3 linked regions of the Macaca fascicularis genome follow. The protein of the gene in region 3 purifies or fractionates together with the protein of the main gene of each other region. This does not show direct contact. Links are inferred from orthologs where the notes say so. Each region holds a gene or a part of one and is shown on either strand. Other genes may lie near its edges.

Region 1 (3,648 bases), on a different chromosome or scaffold from region 3:
TTCCATTTCACAAATAGGGAAGAGGCCCTGTGGGAAGCAACATCCTATCATGTGAGGCTTTGGATCTGTGAGTGCTGCTCAGGGAAAAGAGGCTTTCCTTGCCCCACTGAACCCAGATCTGCCCTGCTCCTTGGAAGCCACCTCCCCACTCCAGACACCAGTCTCCCACAAGGTTGCCCACATCCTCCTCTTTACTGACAAAGCCAATAGGCACTTGTCAACTCTAATTTTGATTGATCTATCGGCAGTACCACTGCCAGCCATTCCTTTTGACTTCAAATACTATTTCCTTGGTTCTTACACGCTACCCTCTTGGTTTCTTACCTCTCTTGCTTTCTTCTTCATCCTCCTAACTGTGCCCTACATGCCGATGTTCCCCAGAATCCCACCCTAGGCCCTTTCTTTTCACACCTTCTCACATGATCTCATCTACTCTTACACCATCTACAAGCTGACAACTCTCAAATCTCTAGCATCAGCTCAGACCCTTTTCTGAACTTCAGACTTTTTTTTCTTTTTTTTCTGAGATGGAGTCTTGCTCTTGTTGCCCAGGCTGGAGTGCAGTGGTGTGATCTCGGCTCACTGCAACCTTCTCCTCCCAGCTTCAAGCAATTCTCCTGCCTCAGCCTCATTAGTAGCTGGGACTATAGGCACCTGCCATCACGCCTAGCTAATTTTTATATTTTTAGTAGAGATCACCATTTCACCATGTTGGCCAGGCTGGTTTTGAACTCCTGACCTCAAGTGATCTGCCCACCTTGGCTTCCCGAAGTGCAGGAATTACGGGTGTGAGCCACCATGCCTGGCCTAAATTTCAGATCCTTATAGCTAAGAGACTATTTGGATATCTTACAGGTATTCCAAACTCAACACATCCAAAACAAAACCCACAATCTCTCTCAAACCTGCTCTTCTTCCCATGTTTCCTATCACAGTGAATGTGTACCATCATCCAATCAGATGTCCAGGCTAGAAAGCTTGAAGTTCACTGATTTCTGACACTATAGTTTCCATCACCTCTAAAATCCATTCAATTACCTTGTCCTGCTGAATTTACCTTAACAACAAACCCTCATCTGCCCACTTCTCTTTCTTTTTTTAAAAGAGACAAGGTCATATAAAAAAAAAAAGAGAGAAAGAGAGACAGACAAGGTCTCACTATGTTGCCCAGGCTGGCCTCAAACTCCTAGGCTCAAGCAATCCTCCCACCCCAGCCTCTGGAGTAGCTGGGATATAGGCATGCATCACCAAACCTATTTGTACACTTTTCTGATCCCTGCTTCCCTAGTTGGGCCACCATCATTTGGGCCCTGGCTCAGTTTTCTAAGTGTTGCAGTTTTCTACCTGATCTCACTGCTTTCAGTCTTGCCTCCACTGAATCTACTGTCCTCATTGTAGCTAAAAATCATCTTTTTAAAACACAAGACTAACCATGTCATAGCTCTACTGAAATCTCTTCAGCAGCTCCCTACCACTCAGCTATACTGAGGCCCTACTTTCCAGCGACAGAGTAACTTACAGATTGCCAACAATTCCATGGTCTCTTGATTCTCTCTGCCCTTGACACATGCTACTTCCTGTACTTAGAATACCTTCTTCTTGGCCAGGTGCGATGGCTCACACCTGTAATTCCAGCACTTTGGGAGGCAGAGGCGCGCAGATTACCTGAGGCCAAAAGTTTGGGACCAGCCTGGACAACATGGCGAAACCCTGTCTCTATCAAAAACACAAAAAAATTAGCCGTGCATGGTGGCACATGCCTGCAGTCTCAGCTACTTCGTAAGGCTGAGGTGGGAGAATCGATCAAACTCGGGAGGTGGAAGTTGCAGTGAGCTGAGATTGTGCCACTGTGCTCCAGCCTGGGTGACAGAGTGAGAACCTATCTTAAAAAAAAAAAAAAGAGGCCGGGCGCGGTGGCTCAAGCCTGTAATCCCAGCACTTTGGGAGGCCGAGGCGGGCGGATCACAAGGTCAGGAGATCGAGACCACAGTGAAACCCCGTCTCTACTAAAAAAAAAATACAAAAAATTAGCCGGGCGCGGTGGCGGGCGCCTGTAGTCCCAGCTACTCAGGAGGCTGAGGCAGGAGAATGGCAGGAACCCGGGAGGCGGAGCTTGCAGTGAGCCGAGATCGCGCCACTGCACTCCAGCCTGGGCAACAGCGTGAGACTCCGTCTCAAAAAAAAAAAAAAAAAAAAAAAAAGAATGCCTTCCTCTTTCTTGCTTGCCCCTGCTAACCACCCCTTGTTCATCAGGGCTCTGCTTGGATGCCAGTGCTCCAGAAGCGTGACTGGTTTCTCCAGCCCGCGGCAATAATATGGCTTACTGGAGAATTTTGTTCCCTCTATCACAGCACTAGACTCTCTAGAGACCTCACTGGGCTACTGGAGGAAAGGTGTAGTATTTTATTCTTCGTGTCCCCAGTGTCTAGCAGAAGGTCTGGCACCTGGTATCAGTCTGTCCACAAATAAGGCACTGCCCTTGATATATGAGCATAAAGGGCAGGTGGGAAGGTGCCAAACTCCAGCTCCCCTACTCAGTTGTCAGTGTGGTTCTGGAAGTTCTCAGATATGGAGACTGATTTGCATCCCAGCCACGTAAAGTAAATGATGAGTGCCAAAGGCCAGGTCTCCGAAGGTTCCTAGAAGGAAGGCTTCTGATAGTTAGCAGGAGTCTCAGGCCAGATGGCGGCTATCAGGAAACAGAGGGTCAAAAGGCAGTTTGCCAGCAGAAGAATGAGGACATCTAGGAGATGGGTCTAAGGAGGGGCAAAGAAACCTCGCAGCATCCAAGAAAGTGACTTCAGAGAGATACTCCCATCAGATGGGCAGAAAACTGCCTAATGAACTCATCTGTGTGTATGGGAGGCTCTGTGATGGTGGCCAAGCAGAGCATCCTCACTCCACATTGAGTCCCTGCCAGTTTACAGGCATTTACCTGTTGGGTCCTCCGAGGAGGGTCAGTGCCATCTGACTGGCACACACACCTGTCATCTCCAGTCTCCGCTCCAGGGTCAGCCCATGCTTCTCAGCCACGGACAACAGCTTTTTATGTAGCTCATAGGAAACACTTGGGACAACCAGGCCAGAGTCTGCAGTTCAAAAGGAGAAGAGAAAGGGAAAGTGACTACAGAAACCAGGTCCAAACTGGGTATACTCTATCCAAGATTCTGCAAATGCCAACATTTTACCATGGACCACCCTCTGGCCCATCCTCTTCATCTTCCAGGACTAAGGCACACTCTGAGTAGTGAATGGTGAACCAAGTAACAACTTGTTCCAGGTCACCACAGAGTGGGGACAAACTTAAGCTCCCTTAGCAGTTTAGCTTTAGACCACGAAAGCCAAATCTACCAGGATATATTTAGTGCTATCGAGACCAGCACACAGCCGGTAATAGCAACCTATCAGGCACAAGAGAAGAGAACATGATTTTCCCAAAGTGGGGGAAATGCCATCTTGGGCAGCAGGGTTTCCTCACAAGCAGGTGCCTTGTCCTTCCTGAGAAGTGGAACAGACACAGACACTAGCTAACCCTGATGGCCCTCTGGTCCCTGCTGTTCTCCTCAACTGTAGGGCAGGAGGACTTGTTCCATCTGCTTCCCTCTTCCTCTTCCTTCTCTCTTCTATTTACCCTTCCTCTTTGATTAA
Region 2 (3,648 bases), on a different chromosome or scaffold from region 3:
TCTAAAATAGTAACCTGTGCAGCTACAAAGTTCTAAGAATCAGAAAAAATCCACTATGCTAAGAGCTTTGTTTATCCATATCAGTCCTCTCAGTGCTGACACAGGTATGCAAAGTAGTGAACAATTTATGATAGTAAGTTAAGAAAAATTTTAACTAAGGAGGCCAATTCTCATTACATACTTTCTTTTTAATAACATGGTATTTTTCTACTCAATTTTAGCTAGTGGCTATGATAATCCATGATGCAAAATTAAGTTTACATGTAACATATGCCAGATTTTACTAATGGAAATATTTGTCCACTAAAACTAATGTAAGCAAAAAAATAAACAGTATTTTCCTAAGATTCTGGATGACTACTAGGATCTTATTAGGTACTTACCTCTCTAAGTACTCTGCCAGAAGTTGTTCTGCTGCAGATGAATACATCCATTCACTTCCAACTTTCTTGGTATATCCAGGTACCTCCTCATTTTTCTTGTTGAATTTGAGATTTAAACCCACATTTGCTTTATGGTCTCCATGAGGGCTGAATTTAAACCACACATGCACGCACGTGCACACACACACACACACACACACACACACACACACGTTTTAAAATATTGTTCAAGGAATAAAAAGTTTTGCTTTCAATTCTTAGAAAAGCTCAGTTTTGATTATTCTTCTATATTTTAGTTATTATGGTTATTTCCAAAGTAGCAGTAATTGAAAAACTAGAAGAAAAGCTTCAAAACCCAAGTTAACAAAGCATGTAAATAAATTATGTAACTATAGAGGAAAATGAAATAACAAGATGCAAGGAAATATACTACTGAGGTTCACACACACCCTCTGATACCTTTTTTCAAGGTTCAATTTATTAGCTGCTAAAAAATAAGAACTGTCTTTTCCAACCACCTAAAACATGTGCCATTCAGATGAAAGATTACCATCAGAGAAATTTATGCACAATTTTAAGACAATTCAGAGCAATTAATAAGAAAATAAATACTGAAATATTAAGCATTTAATCTTTATCATTTAATTTTTCTGCCACTTTAAGTAAATTTCTCTAACATAAACTTACTTTCTCCTAGATCCTCTTCCAATAAAAATACTTCCTGTAAACCTTGAAACAAGGTATCCACTCACTCCAAGGCGACTGGCCAACACATATCCTGGGTTGTACTTTATAGAATATTTCTTTAAATATAAAAACAAAAAGGTCAATTATGGAAACACAAGTTTACATTAAATGTTATTTCTTTACCTTTAAAATCTGGAGATAATCAAGACATCACTAACCATTGGATTGTGGCAATATAAGGATTTTCACTTAGATCCATTTCCCCTTTTTTTTGAAAGGATCTGTAGGCAGAATTTTTCTGCTCCTCTCTCTTTCTCCTTAAAGGACAGAATTCCCAAGGATGGATAAAAGGGGGGAGGAAATATACAGTTTGTGAAACTGTCTTAAGAAATAAACTCTACTGTAAGTACTAAATGGCAAACTCCACAGGCAACTTTTTTGTTTGTTTTTGTTTCTACTAATTTTCATATTCCAAGCAGGGCCTAGCAAAGTACTTGGGACAAAATGAGGCCTCAATAATTACTAGACTGAATTAAAAAACAGGTACGTCATCAAAATAGTTGCTACTGAGAAAAACTAAAAGTGTCCTTCATATATGGATATAAGTAATATTCTTTTCCCCTAATATTTACTATCATATGAAAATATACAAGCATGTATAGACCCATAATTAATACAGTCAATGAAATGTAACCTTAATTTATATACTTAAGGGAAGAAAACATATTGTCACATTAAAAAAAGTAAGTAACAGATCATATAATATTTAAACAGGAAGCAAATGACTGATGAATCTAATACTAACTAGGATAAACTACCATATACTCCTAACATCATGTACATAACAATAAAATATACTTAAGAACATAATCAGATTGAGCAATAATCTAATACAAATCAAGTATGCTTTCCAGAAGAGTTCAAAGAATTATGGTAGTAGGTCTCAAACATAAGTAGCAACACTTTTCTAACAAGCATTTAGAAATGTGTAGAGGCACATTTAATTACCATAACTGGCATGGGCTACTAGTACTTAATGCCCTTGAGCCAAAGATGCCAACTGTCCTGCCATATACAAAACAGTTTTATTTAATACATAACTGTCCTGCCCAAATGGCCAATAGTACTCCTTTTGAGAAATAATGGGTTTTGCTATAATTTAAAATTCATTAAAACCATCACAAACATCCTAGAAAATATAAAATAAGTAGCTGAGAATGTTGTGGTAGAAAAAGAAGGCAGCTGGAGTGAAAGTTAAACGTATGTAAAGAGACAGAAACCAAACTGAAGAAGGCATGCCCATCAACACTGTATACTACTATACAAGAGGACAGGCTCTTCGAGATCTAGAAAAAGCCAGGGATGAAGGAACACAAGTTCTTTAACCTTCACTGATTCCCAGTACAAATCTCCAGCTACTTTATTTAATGAGCCACTCTCCTGGTTTCCTGACTATGCTGTCTAAATTTGTTCTTCAAATGGCACCAGATGGTAAGATTTTAGGGATGACTGTCTTCCATACATAAAGTTTCCTCATGGGTGTGCTGATATGTAATGCCTTAAATTCATTTCACAGGATATAAAGCTTTACATTTTACTATTAGTGTGAGAAAAAAACCCCTAAGTAGCAATAGTTGGTTGATTGTGAATTAATTTTAGCTAATTATCCAACCAATCAATAAGAACAAATGACAGATATCAGAACCTTCCCTCTGTTTTAACAGGAGATAAGAAAGCCAGTGGAATTTTTTGGTGAGAAAGTCCTGAAAAAGATGCTGTTAACTTAAATGCATTTTTCCAATATTCTTTAGAATTGAGACCGTTCATTCTTAGCTGAGTGGATACATACAGCCTTTGCAGAAAGGCCATTTGTCACTTGCAACTAAAAATGCAGGCTCTGAATTATTATGAAAGGTTTAAAACACCTAAATCTATTCCCAGAGAGTGTGCTAATCAATGTGCATCTTATAAGCTTGAACACAATAATCCCTAACAATCACTATGGATTAATAATTGGATATCAGTGATTTCCCCCCATAAAGGTCTACATGAAGTTTTGAGCACAGATTCCACACTGATTTTTAAACAGCAGCTGCAACTGGGAGAGAGAATCTAATCAGTATTAAATAAAATATCTGAAATAAATTCAAATGAGGTGGCAAAAATATCCTAATATTTTAAGATTATCAATTCAAAATGCAACGATACAAACTACTGTACTCACATGCTGGTTCTGTATTAAAGCATCAAGATTGGGTTCACATGGAATGCTGAAAATCACACGAATCCTACCTTCTGTAATCACATCACCTGAATCCTGCACCTTAGAAGAAAAAAAAAATCACAGTATAGTCTCTTTCAGTATATTTTATTTTTTAACTTATTTGAACACTATTATTTTTGAAATACAGTATGACAAGTTGGATAGTGGAAATTCTCTTGAAATTTGTTAACTGGGTATGAAAATACTGTAAATTTGAGTCACTGTATCATTGCTTTAATGGTTAACTTCTTTTGAGACAGGATCTACAATACTGTAAATTTGAGTCACTGTATCATTGCTTTAATGGTTGTTAAT
Region 3 (3,648 bases):
CCTCGGCAGGCAGCACCTCAGTGTGCCGTAGCCGGCAGCGACTCACAACCTGGATACCGAAGCTCAGCACAGGGTGGGTGAGCAGGAACTCCGAGATGGAGCTGAAGCAGGCATGGCCCTCCTCCTGGTTCTGCAGCAGCTCCATCACATAGAGGACCTGCACAGGCAGAACGTTCCTAGCTGAGCTCAGAGGCTAAGGGCTGCAATGCGCCACCTGCCCCCCGGCCTTCCTCTATAATCCCAGCTCTGCCCAGGGTACCCCATGGCAGCCTACCTTCCGTTGCACATCGCTGAGAATCAGGTATTCTGCTGAGAGGTCCAAGCAAACCTTGAGGCTAGGGGGCACACTCACTGAGCTGAAGATATCTGGGGAGAAGCTAGAGAGCCACAAAGCAGAGTGAATGAGGCTGAGAACTGAAGGAAGCCACATTCCCAACCCTGCTGCCCCTGCCCAGTCCCCCAGCCTTCCAACTACTCCTTACCGAATAGTCTGCAGGCAGGTCCAGGACACCGTACACCACATCTTTAGCTCTCGGTTCTGGTCAGCACCAGTAATAAGGAACCTCCAGAAAGGGACACTGCAAGGCAACAAGGCACTGACTGGCTGGCTGGGCCGCCTGCTGGGAGCCATGGTCCAGCCCACCACCCACTAGGCTGCCCACTCACTCACTCAGGGTCTTGTTTCTTATGGTTGTCACAGAACAGGAGGCAGGAGAGGGGCCGCCCATCATGAGGCTTCCACTCGTGCAGACACCTGCAGGTAGGCAGATGAGGGGCCTGAGTGAGCAGTCCGGTCGGCTACCTCGGGAGGATCCTGGTCCCTGAGGCCCTGCCTTACCTTGGCTCATCTTGCCCCTCAATGTAGATCTGCCAGAACTTGACATAGCCATCATGGCTCGCAGTAGCCAGCACAGTCCCATCAGGGGAGAGGGCTCCTTCACTGAGGCACTAGAAAGAACCCAAAAAGCTTTGCTGACTAGAGGTGAGAACAAGTCCCTCCCAAGTGAGGATGGTAATGAGCTGGACTGACTCATGGTGGGACTGGCATGCTTGTGTGACTGACTGAATGAACAGGGTCCCTAGAGAAGGCCAGACCTGCAGGGTGCTGTGAGGTAAGGAGAAAACTGCACAGGCAAGGGCCACTTTGAGCTCAGAGTCCCCATGGACAGAATGCTAGTAAAGCTGCCCGGACAGCTGTGGATATAGGGAACAGAGGACGGATATGAGGAAAGAGAGGGCAGGGGAGGCAGGCAGTCACAGGCTTACCGTGCTATGACCTTTTACCACAATGAAGCCCTGCTTGATCTGGCTGACATCCACAGGCCAAGTGCTGTGGCTGGAGCGGAGCATGTCCAGGTCCCACACCTCAGCCTGGAAGGCACAGAGAGGTGAGTGTGCAGCCCATCCCCACACTATGGCTTCTCTGGCGCCTCCTCGCCATGCCAGCCCCCTCACCCGGTCTTCATGCAGCAGGGCCACCGTCGGGCTGCTCTCCTCACAGCAGTCCTCGCTCTCCTCAGGGATGAAGGGGCACCAGATGATCCTGCGAAAGTGGTTCAGTGGCGTGCCCTCTGGCTGCCGGATATGGACCAAGATCTCTTCTCTGAGCAGGGTGTTAAGGGCTAGATAGGTGAATGAAGAGGCATGACACCCCAGCTCCGCCCACCCTTCTTCAGTCCCACCACCCACGGGAAGGAATGGATACTGAATTTTGCCATTAACCAGAGCCAAGCGCCACACGAACAGGTTGCCTGCCTCATCCAGGCAGGCCAGCTGTGGAGAGTTGAGGTGTGCAAAAGCCAGATCAGCCACACTGCCTGTGAAGCCCTTGAGCAAGGTCCGCTCCGAAGTGCTGACACTGATCACCCGCACCATGGCGGAGCCATTGTTGGCAGCTGGAATCAGGAGAGCAGTGGACCATGAGTACACATCCAGGCTCAGGCAGCAGCAGAGAAGCGCTGCCCCTGTCTGTCTCCTGCCACCACCATAGTCGCAAGCTTGGTTTTCCCACCCAGCTCCCCAAGAGGCAGCATGGACAAACCTTCCATTGTACCCCTAAGGCCTGAGTGGCCTGATGTTGGAACTGGCTCTGTTGGACGTCCAGCATAGGAGGAAGGACGTCCTTCCTCCCCACTGTCTTTACTCACCCCGAATGGCATAGGCCAAGAAGGAGTTAGACACAGCAATCAGGTTGCCATAGTAGTACTTCTGCTCCCAGTCATACTTGGCGACAGGCTGAATTTTCACCTGAGAACCCAGGGTAAGAAAAGTCATGGAACTTCCCTAGAGCCTAGGTGGCCCCCAACATCCCTGGGGATGGGAGAGGACACAGATGCAAGTCCAGCTACCCACTGTTACCTCCTGGAGCCAGACTCCCACAGAGGCTTGGCACCCAGCCCTGGCTTCCTGAAACTGGGAAAGTGTCAAGGTGGCCCCACAGGAACTGGCAGCATGAGGGAGACCGGAAAGGCTGGGTGTGCCCCTATACATTATATATGCCACAGCATCCTAGTACCTACCTTGTTGCTTCCCCGGGCCTTGCTTGAAATGCTAGAGTCACTGCTGGCCACAATCTCCACCTCCTTGGCCAAAATCCCAATGCAGGTGGAGCTATCATCTCCTGAGAGACAGCTGTGGGGAAGAGTGCAAAAACTTTGTCTCTTGTTCACCCAAAGGCTCAATGGGCAGGGACGGGAGGAAGCGAGGACATAGCCAGCCTGGTAAAGGTATCTAGTCCAATGTCAGCTTTGCCTGGTACACTGGCCCCAGACCCACAGCTCCGCTTGCTCACCTCCTTCCTTGGGAATGAGTCTACTTTCATTTTAAACCAGGTATCCAGGCCAAACCCTTGAGCTTGTCCTTGCCTCTCATCCTAGTGCAAGCTCAAGCCCCATCCCAGGTCATCTAGAGAGGAAGCAGCAGAGGCCGCTGGCCCTGCTCACTCCCCATCTCATGGCTTCAGCTAGGAAGACACCCCAAACACACCATCACCACCATTGTCGTCTCCTAGGTACTCACATGACCTGCTTCTCTTGCAGGTTAATGGGTGGCATGGTCCGAAGACCAGTCTTGTTTGTTGAGGTACCATCACCTGAGCAGAGCGGGTCTGGGACCAGAAGCCCATTGAGGTCCCCATTGTAGGCACTGGATGGCCGTGGGCTCTCTGCACTGGGGCCTGGGGACAGAGAGGGTCACTCTGATAAGGTTGCTCGACCTGCCCACAAGCTTCTCCCCTTGCAGAATTTCCTTCAAGAACTATGAGGTGTTCTAGGAACACTCAACTGAGCAAAGCATGTCCATGAGGAGGAGGGCCCTGTGTTCATCTCTCGTTCCATAAACGCTGACGTATGCAGGACCAAGGATGAGCATGAGGCTCTTCTGCCTGGGGGAGGGGTACAAGCCATCAAGGACCCTTTGAGGCCAGTTAATACTCAGGCCTGGGTTACTACAGAACTCTGTGGACTCTGAGTGAGGGCATAGGAACGGTCAGGAAAGACTTTATACAGCAGTTAGTGTGGCCAGAACACACAAACACAGGAAGGATGGAGGGAAAACAAAGCTGCAGAGGCATCAGGTATGATGCTGTGGCACTTAGACTCTTCCCTGTGGGCCATGAGAACCATAAAGAGTTTCAAAGGGGAAGGTGAC

The links.
Region 1: the proteins of EDC4 (region 3) and EDC3 purify together in Homo sapiens (affinity purification with mass spectrometry; 6 studies listed by BioGRID and IntAct, with this or other methods). This does not show direct contact. The link is inferred for Macaca fascicularis from reciprocal best matches to the Homo sapiens genes EDC4 and EDC3.
Region 2: the proteins of EDC4 (region 3) and XRN1 purify together in Homo sapiens (co-immunoprecipitation; 4 studies listed by BioGRID and IntAct, with this or other methods). This does not show direct contact. The link is inferred for Macaca fascicularis from reciprocal best matches to the Homo sapiens genes EDC4 and XRN1.

The regions. Positions count from the first base shown.
Region 1 is NC_088381.1:51,751,611-51,755,258, forward strand, and holds part of EDC3 (enhancer of mRNA-decapping protein 3), read right to left. Parts: intron 3,090-3,648; coding exon 2,936-3,089; intron 1-2,935. UniProt on the Homo sapiens protein: Binds single-stranded RNA. Involved in the process of mRNA degradation and in the positive regulation of mRNA decapping. May play a role in spermiogenesis and oogenesis.
Region 2 is NC_088376.1:45,200,208-45,203,855, forward strand, and holds part of XRN1 (5'-3' exoribonuclease 1), read right to left. Parts: intron 3,394-3,648; coding exon 3,295-3,393; intron 1,388-3,294; coding exon of another isoform or gene 1,316-1,387; exon of another isoform or gene 1,254-1,315; intron 1,187-1,253; coding exon 1,071-1,186; intron 531-1,070; coding exon 384-530; intron 1-383. UniProt on the Homo sapiens protein: Major 5'-3' exoribonuclease involved in mRNA decay. Required for the 5'-3'-processing of the G4 tetraplex-containing DNA and RNA substrates. The kinetic of hydrolysis is faster for G4 RNA tetraplex than for G4 DNA tetraplex and monomeric RNA tetraplex.
Region 3 is NC_088394.1:63,931,346-63,934,993, reverse strand, and holds part of EDC4 (enhancer of mRNA-decapping protein 4), read right to left. Parts: intron 3,383-3,648; exon of another isoform or gene 3,283-3,382; intron 3,176-3,282; coding exon 3,019-3,175; intron 2,632-3,018; coding exon 2,520-2,631; intron 2,248-2,519; coding exon 2,148-2,247; intron 1,896-2,147; coding exon 1,706-1,895; intron 1,604-1,705; coding exon 1,456-1,603; intron 1,372-1,455; coding exon 1,267-1,371; intron 949-1,266; coding exon 839-948; intron 755-838; coding exon 671-754; intron 579-670; coding exon 483-578; intron 378-482; coding exon 275-377; intron 158-274; coding exon 1-157. UniProt on the Homo sapiens protein: In the process of mRNA degradation, seems to play a role in mRNA decapping. Component of a complex containing DCP2 and DCP1A which functions in decapping of ARE-containing mRNAs. Promotes complex formation between DCP1A and DCP2.